Linked DNA regions of Drosophila melanogaster. The protein of the gene in region 2 interacts with the protein of the main gene of each other region in a biochemical or structural test. Each region holds a gene or a part of one and is shown on either strand. Other genes may lie near its edges.

Region 1 (4,090 bases), about 12 Mb from region 2:
GCTGCGGAATTCGCGGAAAACCGGAAAGACAAAAGTTCTCGGGCGCTTTTCAAACGGATTTTCTAACATTCGACGCCATTAATACGAACTAATTGCTTTTCTCACAGAGATGATCATACAATTTGTCCGGCAGTAAATTACTTCCAAAGTCGTGTGCAGAATGTCTGGCATTGTTTGTGTCAATTAATATTATTGTAATGCCTATGATGTGCATTTATCATATAGAGAATGAAAATTGCACATAACCTGCCGCTGGCAATGCGAACAGGTTTTCTAGTCTGTGACTAAATTTAAACTTGAAACTGCCCTTCGGCTAATGGAACTGCTAGAACAACTATGGAAAATCTAAAATAAATCTTAATAGCTAAAAAGCCCATAGCCCGAAATATATTGCAATGAAATGACAGTTATGTTAAGCATAGATTAACACGGAACAGAAAAAAACAGAAATGCAGTCGAACTTTCATAACTGGAACAAGCGAGCACCTGTTTCAAATAAACAAAAAATCAAGTTCTGGAGTCTTAAGATCTTAAGTGCTTGTCTTAAGAAGACAAGGAGACTTTAACCTTTTATCAGATTAGATAGATTTGGAATAAATTATTGTTTCGACGCAAAGATCTTTAAATTTTAAAACTTTAACTTCTTTTGAAAGTTTCCCTTATGGAGGTTCGACTGTTTTGAAATTTGTAAAATTGTAAATTTCTCACCGTGGCAAAGAAGGCGAACAGCAGCAGCAGGACTTTGAACAGCGATATCCACATGGGCGTCATCATGCTCGATCTCGGGCTTAATCAATTGGATTTATAAATATATATAGATTCTGCGGACGGCGAACGTCTGCGTCGGGGATTAGTAATAGTATATAGCAGGTGATTGGCGGATCGGTGGCGTCTTATACCAATTTTCTTATTTCTACAACTTTGTTATTATAGCGCCGGCTGCTGTTGTTTTTTAGTGATCTGTGCGTTTTTTTCTTTTTATGGGCTTTGCGTATATAAAAAATAAACAAACTGGCACGACTAAATGTTAATGCCGGGCCTTTATACTGGTAGCTGGTGTTACTGTTGCCTCTTATTTATTTATAAATATTTTGTGCGGTGGCTCTGTGTGATATGTTGGCTATTCCGTTTTGTTTGTTTCCTTTGCACGTTTGCGAGACACACAGACAGACACTTCAATTAGTCGGTTTGCTTTTCACTTTAGTTTCGCTCTCGCCGCTTTAGTGGAACCGTTTTCGGATCGGTTCGATTTGGTTGCTCTGATGAAATGCCGCGATATTGATATCGTTTATAACCGATTTGGCTTGCAACTGGGCAATGGGCTATCCAAGTAGCTGATCGCAGGATATGTGAGTCTTCAACTTTTCGGCTCTGTGCGCCGTCTTTGAGTGACACGAAAAGCTCGAGATGAATGCGCTTTTATGGACCTCAAGCCCGATACCATCTGCCACCGATCTTAAGTGTTTATAGCGACGCGCGCTGGGATTTTCCGGTCAGATCGAGAGTTTCACCATATCTCCCGGGCATGCAGAGTGTTAAGCATTAACCAAGTTCGATTTCGACTGCGATTTCGATTTGGATTTCTCGCGATCGAGAACACACGACAGCGAGAGCGCACGTCTGGGAGGCAACTGAAAATGAAAAGTGGAGCCCAGAGGCCGCCGACTCGACTCGTCTGCTCCCCCAAACAATTGCTCAGTGCTTAAGTGCAGCTTTAAGCTAGCTTGCGAGAGTGTGAGCGGGAGCGGGCGCTGTGCGCGAGCGAGACGCCGCCGGTCAGAGGCGGTGGAAGCGGGATGGGTAGTGAGCGCGAGGGTCGTGCGAGGGAGCGGGACGTCTGGGCGAGCGGACCGCGATTTTATCACAGCTGACTCCGAGCAGTGCTACTAATTGCGCCTGCTTCACGAAAAACTTTACCAGTCGGAATTATCTGAATCATATTACACTTGGAGAAAAGTAAGTGCACATCAAACTAACACTATAATGACTAACGTTTTTAATTACATCTGTTGTTAAACCAAATACAAATCACTGGAGCTTTAAGAAGAATATCAAACCCTCAATTGTACTATTTTAACACATAAGTTAAAAACATACTTTCAAAAACTAATTCCATACAAACATTTTATTCATTCTAATCAGCATAGTTGCCATAAAGCTTTGCATAAAATGTACATATCGTTTGAGTGGCATTTGACACCAAAAATTAACTTCGTTATCGCAAAATTTTTTAAAACAAATATTACGAAAAAGTTAGAGCAGCCACAGAGTAATGTTTGGATGCCTCGAAGTCAGAGCTTTGTTATCTGCGGAAGTCAATCAAAGCTGCATTTTGGATGATTAAGTTTCCGTTTGAAATAATGAATACTGTACTTAATAAACACTTATGTACAAATTTGCCCTTTTCGTCGACCCATTTTAGTAATTAACTATTATCTGTCCGCTTGTTATTGAACATACGCGATTAGAGATTTATTGCTTTTTTATTAGGTATACTTAAAGAAGCAGCGATTGAATTATCACTTTTATTTAAATCCAGAAAGAAAACAAGTTTATAGGTAGCCCGAAAATATAGAAATTTCCCCGAGCTGAAAATAACCAAACTTTGTGGCAAGTGGGTGGTTGATTACCACCTTCTCTATCGGGCTAAACCCATGTTAGCCAAGTGTAGGGCTTCTCACAGTCGGTCAAGTTGACCTGTGAGAAGGTGCCGGCCAGCACTTGTTGCTGCTGAAAGTAAAAGTGGTGCCGGGCCAAAGCTCGGCATCAAAGCTCGCGGAGCACAACTGCTCTGCTCTCGGCACCACCACCAATGAAACTATCCCCACGTTGGAGCCCATCTAATATTTCTAACACATTTGATATTCCGAACGGGTGCCGCAAACGCCAGTTCCGTTGGCGCACGCGTCATGGGAGCCGCAGATCCGAATCGCTTAAATTAGCCCGCCAGTCGCCGCCTTGGAGCGTGCTGAGGCGCTTGGGAAAGATGGTGACTCAATTGGTATTTCCGAGAACGGCGGACAAAAAACCGCATCTTTAAGTCGCACACTGCAAGTAATCGCCATGTAAACGGCATCTGACGCAGTCGTGCCTGAATGGATCTACCTTGTGTGCTTATGTTTATGGCCCAAAGTGGATGTCGTTCGCCATGGAAAAACGGGAACTTCTTAGCAGAATGCATTTTACTTGGCCATATCTACTCATAGCATAGCCTTTCCCCCGAATTATGCACCAATGACTGAGTTGAGGCCATTTCGTAGAAACATCAGCTGCACTGTTGATTCATAAGAATTTCTTTATCAATTAGTACGTAATAAAATGCAATGAAGGGGGGCTGTGTAAGTAGATAACTAAATTGCATGATGATGCAATTTTGTATTATTGTAATGCCCATACATATCTGTTCTAAACAATCTAAAATTCTCAGAAATCAATTAAATCCTCAACTGAACAAACCATTTCAATATATTACGATTGCATCAAACTTGTTTAAATCTACTTGCATACTTTAGGGATCTATTAAGCTTGTGGTGCATATATTTAGGAGGTTTCCAAATTGTATTTTTATGAGCTAAGTTAATGTATATAATTTCAGCTTCCACTATCCTAAATGTTAATTTGAAATCCATTTAGCAGTAAAATTTTAAGTTAGCACCGCCTTAACTAACTTCATTAATTACTTTCAGCGAAACGGCTAAAGTTACAACTTATTAGTAAACATTGAATCATACGTTTGTCTGAGAATTGATACATTGGAAAAGGTCAAGACTTTTCACAATGTCTTGCAATAGTTGTAGTATGATTAACTTTGTAAAGCTTTGAATACCTGTTAATATGTGCGTAGATTAGCTTTAATGAGCAAATATACTTCCTCTTTTAATTTTAATCATTTTATGTATCATATTAGCACAAACTTTGCGAACATTAGGTAAGCCTAAACTGTTAATTTGAAGTGCCAAATGAAAATCACAGAGCTTAAGTAATTAAGGTGCCATTTTTCCAACGACTTGATCCAATTAACCTAATAGTTATTAATCGAGAGGGAAACGAGCTCATTTAGGACGCCCATTAATCGATGTGGCACCTTGGC
Region 2 (6,810 bases):
CTACACCGCCGGTAAGACCTTTTATGTCCACTATGTTCGCATGTTTATCCGTTTCTGACGCTTTCGTTCGTTTCACAGGCGACGCCAGCGTTTCTCTGTTGGGCTACTTGCACGACATTGATTCCGAAGATGATGAGGATGACGATCAAATGACGATCGAGAATTTGCTGAACTCCAAGGCGATCAAGAATAGCAAAAAGTCTGAAGATGATGAGGATGAGAATGAGAGCGGCGAGGAGGACGAGGAGGATACTGATGACGATAGCCAGATAATCGAGGAATACGAGTCCTTCCTCGAAAATGGTGAGGAGGAAGATGACGACGATGTTGATGAGGATAACGAGGAGAGTGGCGAGGAGGATGAACAGGACAGCGACGACTCCGAAGCTGAAGAGGAACAGCCAAAGGCCAAGGTTGCCAAGCTCTCTCCTGGCGCTAGCGCCAAGAAATCTGGCAAGGAGCAGAACGGTGTGGCCAAGAAGGAGGAGGCCAAGCAGCAGCAAAAGAAGAAGGAGAAGCCAGAGGCCAAGAAGGAACAACCCAAGGCCAAGGAGCCAGCCAAGCAGCAACCAGCTTCTAAGGATCCACGTACTATCACCGGAGGCGTGAAGATTGTGGATCAGGTCGTCGGCAAAGGCGAAGAAGCCAAGCAGGGCAAACGCGTATCTGTTTACTACATCGGCCGCCTGCAGTCGAACAACAAGACCTTCGACAGCCTCCTGAAGGGAAAACCATTTAAGTTCGCCCTGGGCGGCGGAGAGGTCATCAAGGGCTGGGACGTGGGAGTCGCCGGCATGAAGGTGGGCGGCAAGCGAGTCATTACCTGCCCCCCGCACATGGCGTACGGCGCACGGGGAGCTCCACCGAAGATCGGACCGAACTCCACTCTCGTCTTCGAAGTGGAACTGAAAGCTGTGCATTAGTGCACTATATTAACATCATATAGACTTGTAATCCTAAGTAAGTATCCACGTCGTACAACTTGATAAAAATGTTAAATAAACTCTGTTTTCCGGCTGTTCATAAATCAACAGTTTTGTAACAATCGCATGTATTTGGTATGGGGTCTCTAAGGGGTTTTTTCGGGTGAACATACATCCAGCAGGGGCTCAGACTGGAGTTTCCAGTGCTCGAGTACGTAAGGCAGCCGTTCGCTGGGATCTGTGCTCCAGTGGTGCAGACGACACTTGAGTCGCGCCTGTTCCAGCTTGTTTATGGTCACAGTGCAGTAGAAGTCCTTGTTCTCCTTCTTCAGGTCGGGTCCCTCGATGCGCTCCTTGGGCAGGGTAATGCACTCCTCGCGACAATAGAACCCAGTCTTGCGCAGCGAGGCCTTGATGTGCCAGGGCTCGAGCACCCATGGCTCATCCTTGTTCATGACCACCGCCAGCACAATGGTCTCCAGCATGTTGACCGTGCGCTGGGCGTAGGGGGAGCTGTGTTTAACAGTCGATTTTTCAGCCTCTGTCTTGGCGTACTTGGCCACATTCTCCGGCGTATTGTACGCGGCCAAACCCGGCAGCAGGAGCTTATTGTAGACAAAGTGCGGCTTCATTGACACCACGTCGCCCTTGTCGCCAACGCCCTCGACGAAGGTCTTTAGCACCACCTCGATGTTGGGCCGCTTTTTGACCAGCGTGTCGTCCACGAGCTCGTAGATGAAGTTCTTGGCCCTCATCCGGCGGGGTTTCTCGTTGGTTTTGTGCAGCGGCGGGTCATATTTGCGCTTCAGGACGAACGTGGTCTGGAAGCAAATTGGTGGTGAATGGGGATCGCTTCCCTAATCCAGGAGAGCACTTACCCGCACTTGCTGCTGCAGGCTGGTGGCCGATTTAAGCAAATTTAACGGCGTTACGTAGATGTTCTTCAACATTTTTACCACCAATATGTCTGCGTTGCCAGACTACTCAGCCAGTTTGCAGTGTTGCCAGATATGATTATTTAATCTGCGTGAGTTCAGCAGTAAAATTTTCAGTGACTTTGAAAACGATTATGAATTTAGTTTTTTTATTGCAACTATTTCTTTACATTTTAATAAAGCAAAATAATTTGCCCAATTTACCTTTTAATTGATTAAAAAAAATGTACCTTTGAAAGTATTATGACTGTCAATTTTAATTTAATAGTTTCATTACAAAATAAAAGATTGACTATGCCAATATTTCGGCGAACGCGCCCATCGACATGCAGTATGCGTACACGCTGTGAAGCAGTTTTTAAACGGAAACCGTTAGTCGAATTTATTTACAATATGACATTTTACAATCAGGACTCAATAGTGTTTTGTATCCAATCAACGTACTTGCCCACCAGCGTGTAAACTCCTGGCCATCCGGCCAGACCGCACGGAGTCGGTCCAAATGACACGACGCCGGCCAGGAAGTAGTAGGTGTTCACCTTGTTGGTGTCCAAGCCGATGAGCGGTCCCCCGGAGTCACCGCGACAGGAGTCGACGCCTTCCTTGCCGCCGGCACACATCTGTGTGTCCTCGAGGAGAATGTCCTGGCTGCTGTAGACGTTCTGGCACTCATCCATCCGGAATCCCTCCACGGCTGCCTTCAGCTTGAGGTTGCTGGCCGACAGCTGCTCCGTTTTGCCCCAGCCGGCCACGTCCATGGTGATGCCGTCGAAGGTGGCCGACCGCAGATTGACGTCCAGAGGCAGGCAAATGGGTCGCACAAAGTCGGTGTACTCCACCTGCTGGGCCAGACGCAGCAGGGCTATGTCGTTGACCTGGTTCTTGGAGGCCGGTATATAGTCGGGATGGGGTATAGTACGCTCCACGGGCACGTCCAGATGCGGTGGCGCGCAGTCCTTCATGCCGCGCACATCTACTTCGCAATCGGGATTAGTGTTGGTGTCCCATTCGCCCAAACGAACACCGGACAACCGCCAGTCGGTGGGCAGTGCCTTTCCGTTGACACAATGCGAGGCTGTGATCACATATCTTGTGCTGATCAAGGATCCGCCGCAATGGTGACCCTTTTTGCCCTGGCCTGCATGTAGGAATTAACCAGTGGATAAGTGCGTTCAGACTTAAGACGATGCCCCTCTACTTACTTTTGGTGTATTCAATTAGAGCCATCCAGGGGAACTCGTCGATCTTGGTCTTCATTCCGCCATAGATGCGATTGGACAGGATGTTGCCGCATTGTCCTGGCAGCGGCAGAAGGCTGTTGCTGGTTACATTGGGCTTGGGCGGTGGCGTCGTCTCCGATGAGCTCTCCCTGTAGCGGTCCGGACAGCAGATGAGCACCTTGCCGTTCGTATAGCCGCACTGGCTGCGACTCAGGTAAAGCCGGTCCGTGTCCCGGAGCGGGGTGGTGGTCAGCAGGCCGTATAGGTACTTGCAGTCCTCCAGATGGATGCACAGCGCACGCTCCCGATTCGGCGTTATGCAGCGCCCATAGTTGGGCACCTGGGCCGCCTCGTTGGGGAAGTAGAACTCTGGAAATCCAGACTTTAGGTTCAGAGAGCTTACCAATATTGTGAATACATAAATTAGGTCATTAGCTATGGAAGTACGGAAACAGGTTTCCAGCGACTTGTGAAGGCCCGCGGCAAAAAAAAACAAATACGTTAAGCTAGTCATGTCCAGCAGATGAGCATCTTGGCAGTCTTCTATTTACTTACGGCCCGCCGATGATTTCGCCAAAATGCCCAAAAAGAGGCAGATAATCGATGGCTTTAGCATTTTCGTTGCGCAATCGGACCTCGTTAGTCCTTTCTCAAGACGTCGTCAGTGGTTTGCGGATAATGTTTTGCCTAAAAACAATATTACAGACCGACCGCAGAAGCAGTTATCAAAATAAACGGCGCGATAATATGGACGATACCAGGTGCCACAGCGGAGCGGAGTGAAACGAAGAGGCCGAAGCTGAGCTTGGCGCACAACTGAATCTTCGGACGGACGCGGTTCTCGGCCTGCGAGCTTTGTCGCAAGCTTTTTGGCGAGTCTCCAAATCAGATATGAAGATAATCGTGGGAGCAGATCTTTATCTCTCTTCCAATTATTATTCTTAGTAATTGTCAGTTGGCTTATTTAACTTTGGTACTAATAGAATTTACTTTGTCACATGCTGAGTGTAAGTAAAGTACTCGGCAAATTTAAGGGAGTATCTACCATTATTTAATCCCCGCCTAAGTTCGATTGTATCACATGGTGTTTTGATAGCAAAAAGCACTATCATTAACGATAAGCTAACGGTATATTTCGTTCTACAGCAAACTGAAAGTTCTACCGACTTTAAATCGGACCTAAAGCAAAGTTTAAAGTCGCAGTTTAAATTGCAGCGGTCGCGTTGCCAAACAACACAGTATGACCGAATTCGCAATGTTGTTTGCCACTGTTTTGGCAACTCGCATATAGCGGTACGTCGCAGCTGGTGATAAGTTAAATGTTTAATTTAAAAAATGAGCGTGGATATTTAGTAAAGGTCGAATAGGCGGCAAGTTTGGAGATCGGCAGTGGTGTAAGTAGTACGTCGCTTGAGTGCCGAGTGAGTGCTGTATGTGCAGCAATAATGCGAATGCAAGTCTCATGTGTCTGGTCCGATATTTGCAGCTCATAATTTATTCAAAATGCGCTTTGTGCGGCGGGGAACTGTCCCCAAGATTGCAGCATGTTGCTGTGTGGTGGTCCTGCTGGTCACCTGGTATGTGTTGAACGTGGAGCGGGATCTGGATAAGAGCCTCAAAATGTAAGTATGTCTAGTTGTGCGTCACAGCGGCTTGGGATATTGATTGTACGATGTTTGTCCATACATATGTATATGTACATATGCGCATATTTGTGATAAAGAGTATTTATCTTTTGCAACTAATTCAATTTTGTATTTAATTAAAGCGAAATCATCGAGCGCTCCATAAGATCGGCTGTGAATCGTGGCGAGTGCCGGCATCCCCATCTGCCGCTGGACAATCCGGACATCATGAAGTTCTACAAGCCGGTTGAGCGAATAAACTGCGGCGAGGGCATGGACTGGGTCATGTGTGAGGTTGGTTGGGACTGGGCCCCTTCTACAAGAGCTGATTGCTTAACTTAAACCTCGTTTCCCCCAAAGAAATCCATTTGCTTTGTGCGACCAGAGATTGCGTCCAGCCACGAGGATGTGATCTGCTCCTACACGGACATTATTCGCAAGTCGGACTACAAGGTTCGCTTTGGGCAGTCACTGCGCATGAAGGAGCCCTATGTGCTGCAGGCCAGCGACTTTGTCAAGGTGGTCTGTCGATCCTCCAGCGGCGAGAGGTGACCATTATCTTATTTTATAGTTATGCCTATACTTTAAAGAATGATCTTCATGTACTTAGTTGGTTTGGCATGGCCCACGGAATACGGGATACGGTGCCCCGTCCACCGGCCTCCAATTTCTCCCCGAACTTGGCCGTCCTACCACCCGAGGCGGTTGCGCAGGCCCAGCAGCAGATGCAGGATGGGGCCACAGCTCCCATCTACAATGTCCTCATGTTTGGCTTCGATTCGCTGAGTCGCAATGCCTTCATTCGCAAGCTGCCCAGGACCTACGAGTATCTCACCCAACAGTTGGGCGCCACCGTTCTCAAAGGCTATAACATTGTGGGCGATGGTACGCCACAGGCGCTGGTGCCCCTACTGACGGGTTTCACGGAACTGGAGCTGCCGGAGACAAGGAAGCGGTTGTCCGGGGCAGGCAGCGTGGATTCGTATCCTATGATTTGGAAGGATTTTGCCCGCCTGGGATATATGACCTCCTTTAATGAGGATTTGCCCAATGTGGGCACTTTCACGTACCGCATGACAGGGTTTGAGGCCCAGCCGGTGGACCACTACCTGCGTACCTACTATGTCCAGGCGGAGCACATGGCCGCCGAGAGCAAGCCCAACTGCATTGGCCACCAGCCTGATCACATCACCATGCTGGAGTACACAAAAAACGTATGTTCTCTTTCGAAATGTGCTTGGAAACTAACTCATTGTATAATTTTCGTACAGTTTATGCTTAAGTATCGCGATGCACCGCGCTTTGCCTTCAGCTTCCATGGCGGCTTGTCCCACGACTCCATCAACTTAGTGGGAGCAGCGGATGATGATGTCCATGACTGGCTGGTGGCGCTCAAGGAACGATCGCTGCTAGACGACACCATTCTCATCATGATGGCCGATCATGGCAATCGATTTGCCGAGGTGCGAGCCACTCTGCAGGGAAAACAGGAAGAGCGTCTGCCGTTCTTCAGTTTCGTATTTCCCGAGTCGTTTAAGAAGCGCTTTCCGCAGGAGTACAAAAACTTTCTGGCCAACGAGCATCACCTGACCACGCCATTCGACATTCATGCCACGCTGAAACACGTAATACGTATGTACGACAGAGCGTTAGACATCTACAAGATAATAATGCTGGATTTTTCACAGAACTGCAAACCGCTGTGGATCAATTTGGAGAAATAAACGATCCGAAAACTGAAACAAGCCCGCCTGGGATTCGCATCTCGGAGTTAGCCCGTGGACGTGCCATGTCGCTGTTGGATCCAATTCCGAGCAATCGATCCTGTGCGGATGCCTACATAGAGCCTCACTGGTGTGCCTGCCTCAATTGGCTGCCATTGCAGCTGAACGACTCCCGGTATACGGGCATCATTCTCAAGGCTGCCCAAAGTATTGTAAATGCCATCAACTTGGCCACAGTCGAGCAACGCCAATACTGTGCACCTCTGGAGGTTCGAATCATCAATTTAATGATTACATTTCCAGATAAGATAAAGATCATACTTCCATTTGTTTCATTGTTCAACAGATTCACCGTGTAAATTGGGCGCTGCGTCTGCAGCCGC

Evidence for each region. The genes of interacting proteins can lie anywhere in the genome.
Region 1: of the proteins of ea (region 2) and spz, one has a biochemical effect on the other in vitro, tested with the Drosophila melanogaster proteins (3 studies listed by BioGRID).

The regions. Positions count from the first base shown.
Region 1 is NT_033777.3:27,068,436-27,072,525, forward strand, and holds the start of spz (spatzle), read right to left. Parts: upstream 1,636-4,090; 5' UTR 775-1,635; coding exon 709-774; intron 1-708. UniProt on the Drosophila melanogaster protein: The activated form, spaetzle C-106, acts as a ligand for the Toll receptor. Binding to Toll activates the Toll signaling pathway and induces expression of the antifungal peptide drosomycin.
Region 2 is NT_033777.3:15,325,817-15,332,626, reverse strand, and holds ea (easter), read right to left. Parts: upstream 3,899-6,810; 5' UTR 3,695-3,898; coding exon 3,634-3,694; intron 3,545-3,633; exon of another isoform or gene 3,448-3,544; coding exon 3,061-3,447; intron 2,997-3,060; coding exon 2,266-2,996; 3' UTR 2,219-2,265; downstream 1-2,218. Other genes in the region: Fkbp39 (FK506-binding protein 39kD), read left to right, coding at 1-11, 79-923; mRpL9 (mitochondrial ribosomal protein L9), read right to left, coding at 1,070-1,744, 1,802-1,873; CG6236 (uncharacterized protein), read left to right, coding at 4,582-4,700, 4,847-4,997, 5,064-5,251, 5,314-5,917, 5,975-6,335, 6,392-6,696, 6,774-6,810. UniProt on the Drosophila melanogaster protein: Component of the extracellular signaling pathway that establishes the dorsal-ventral pathway of the embryo.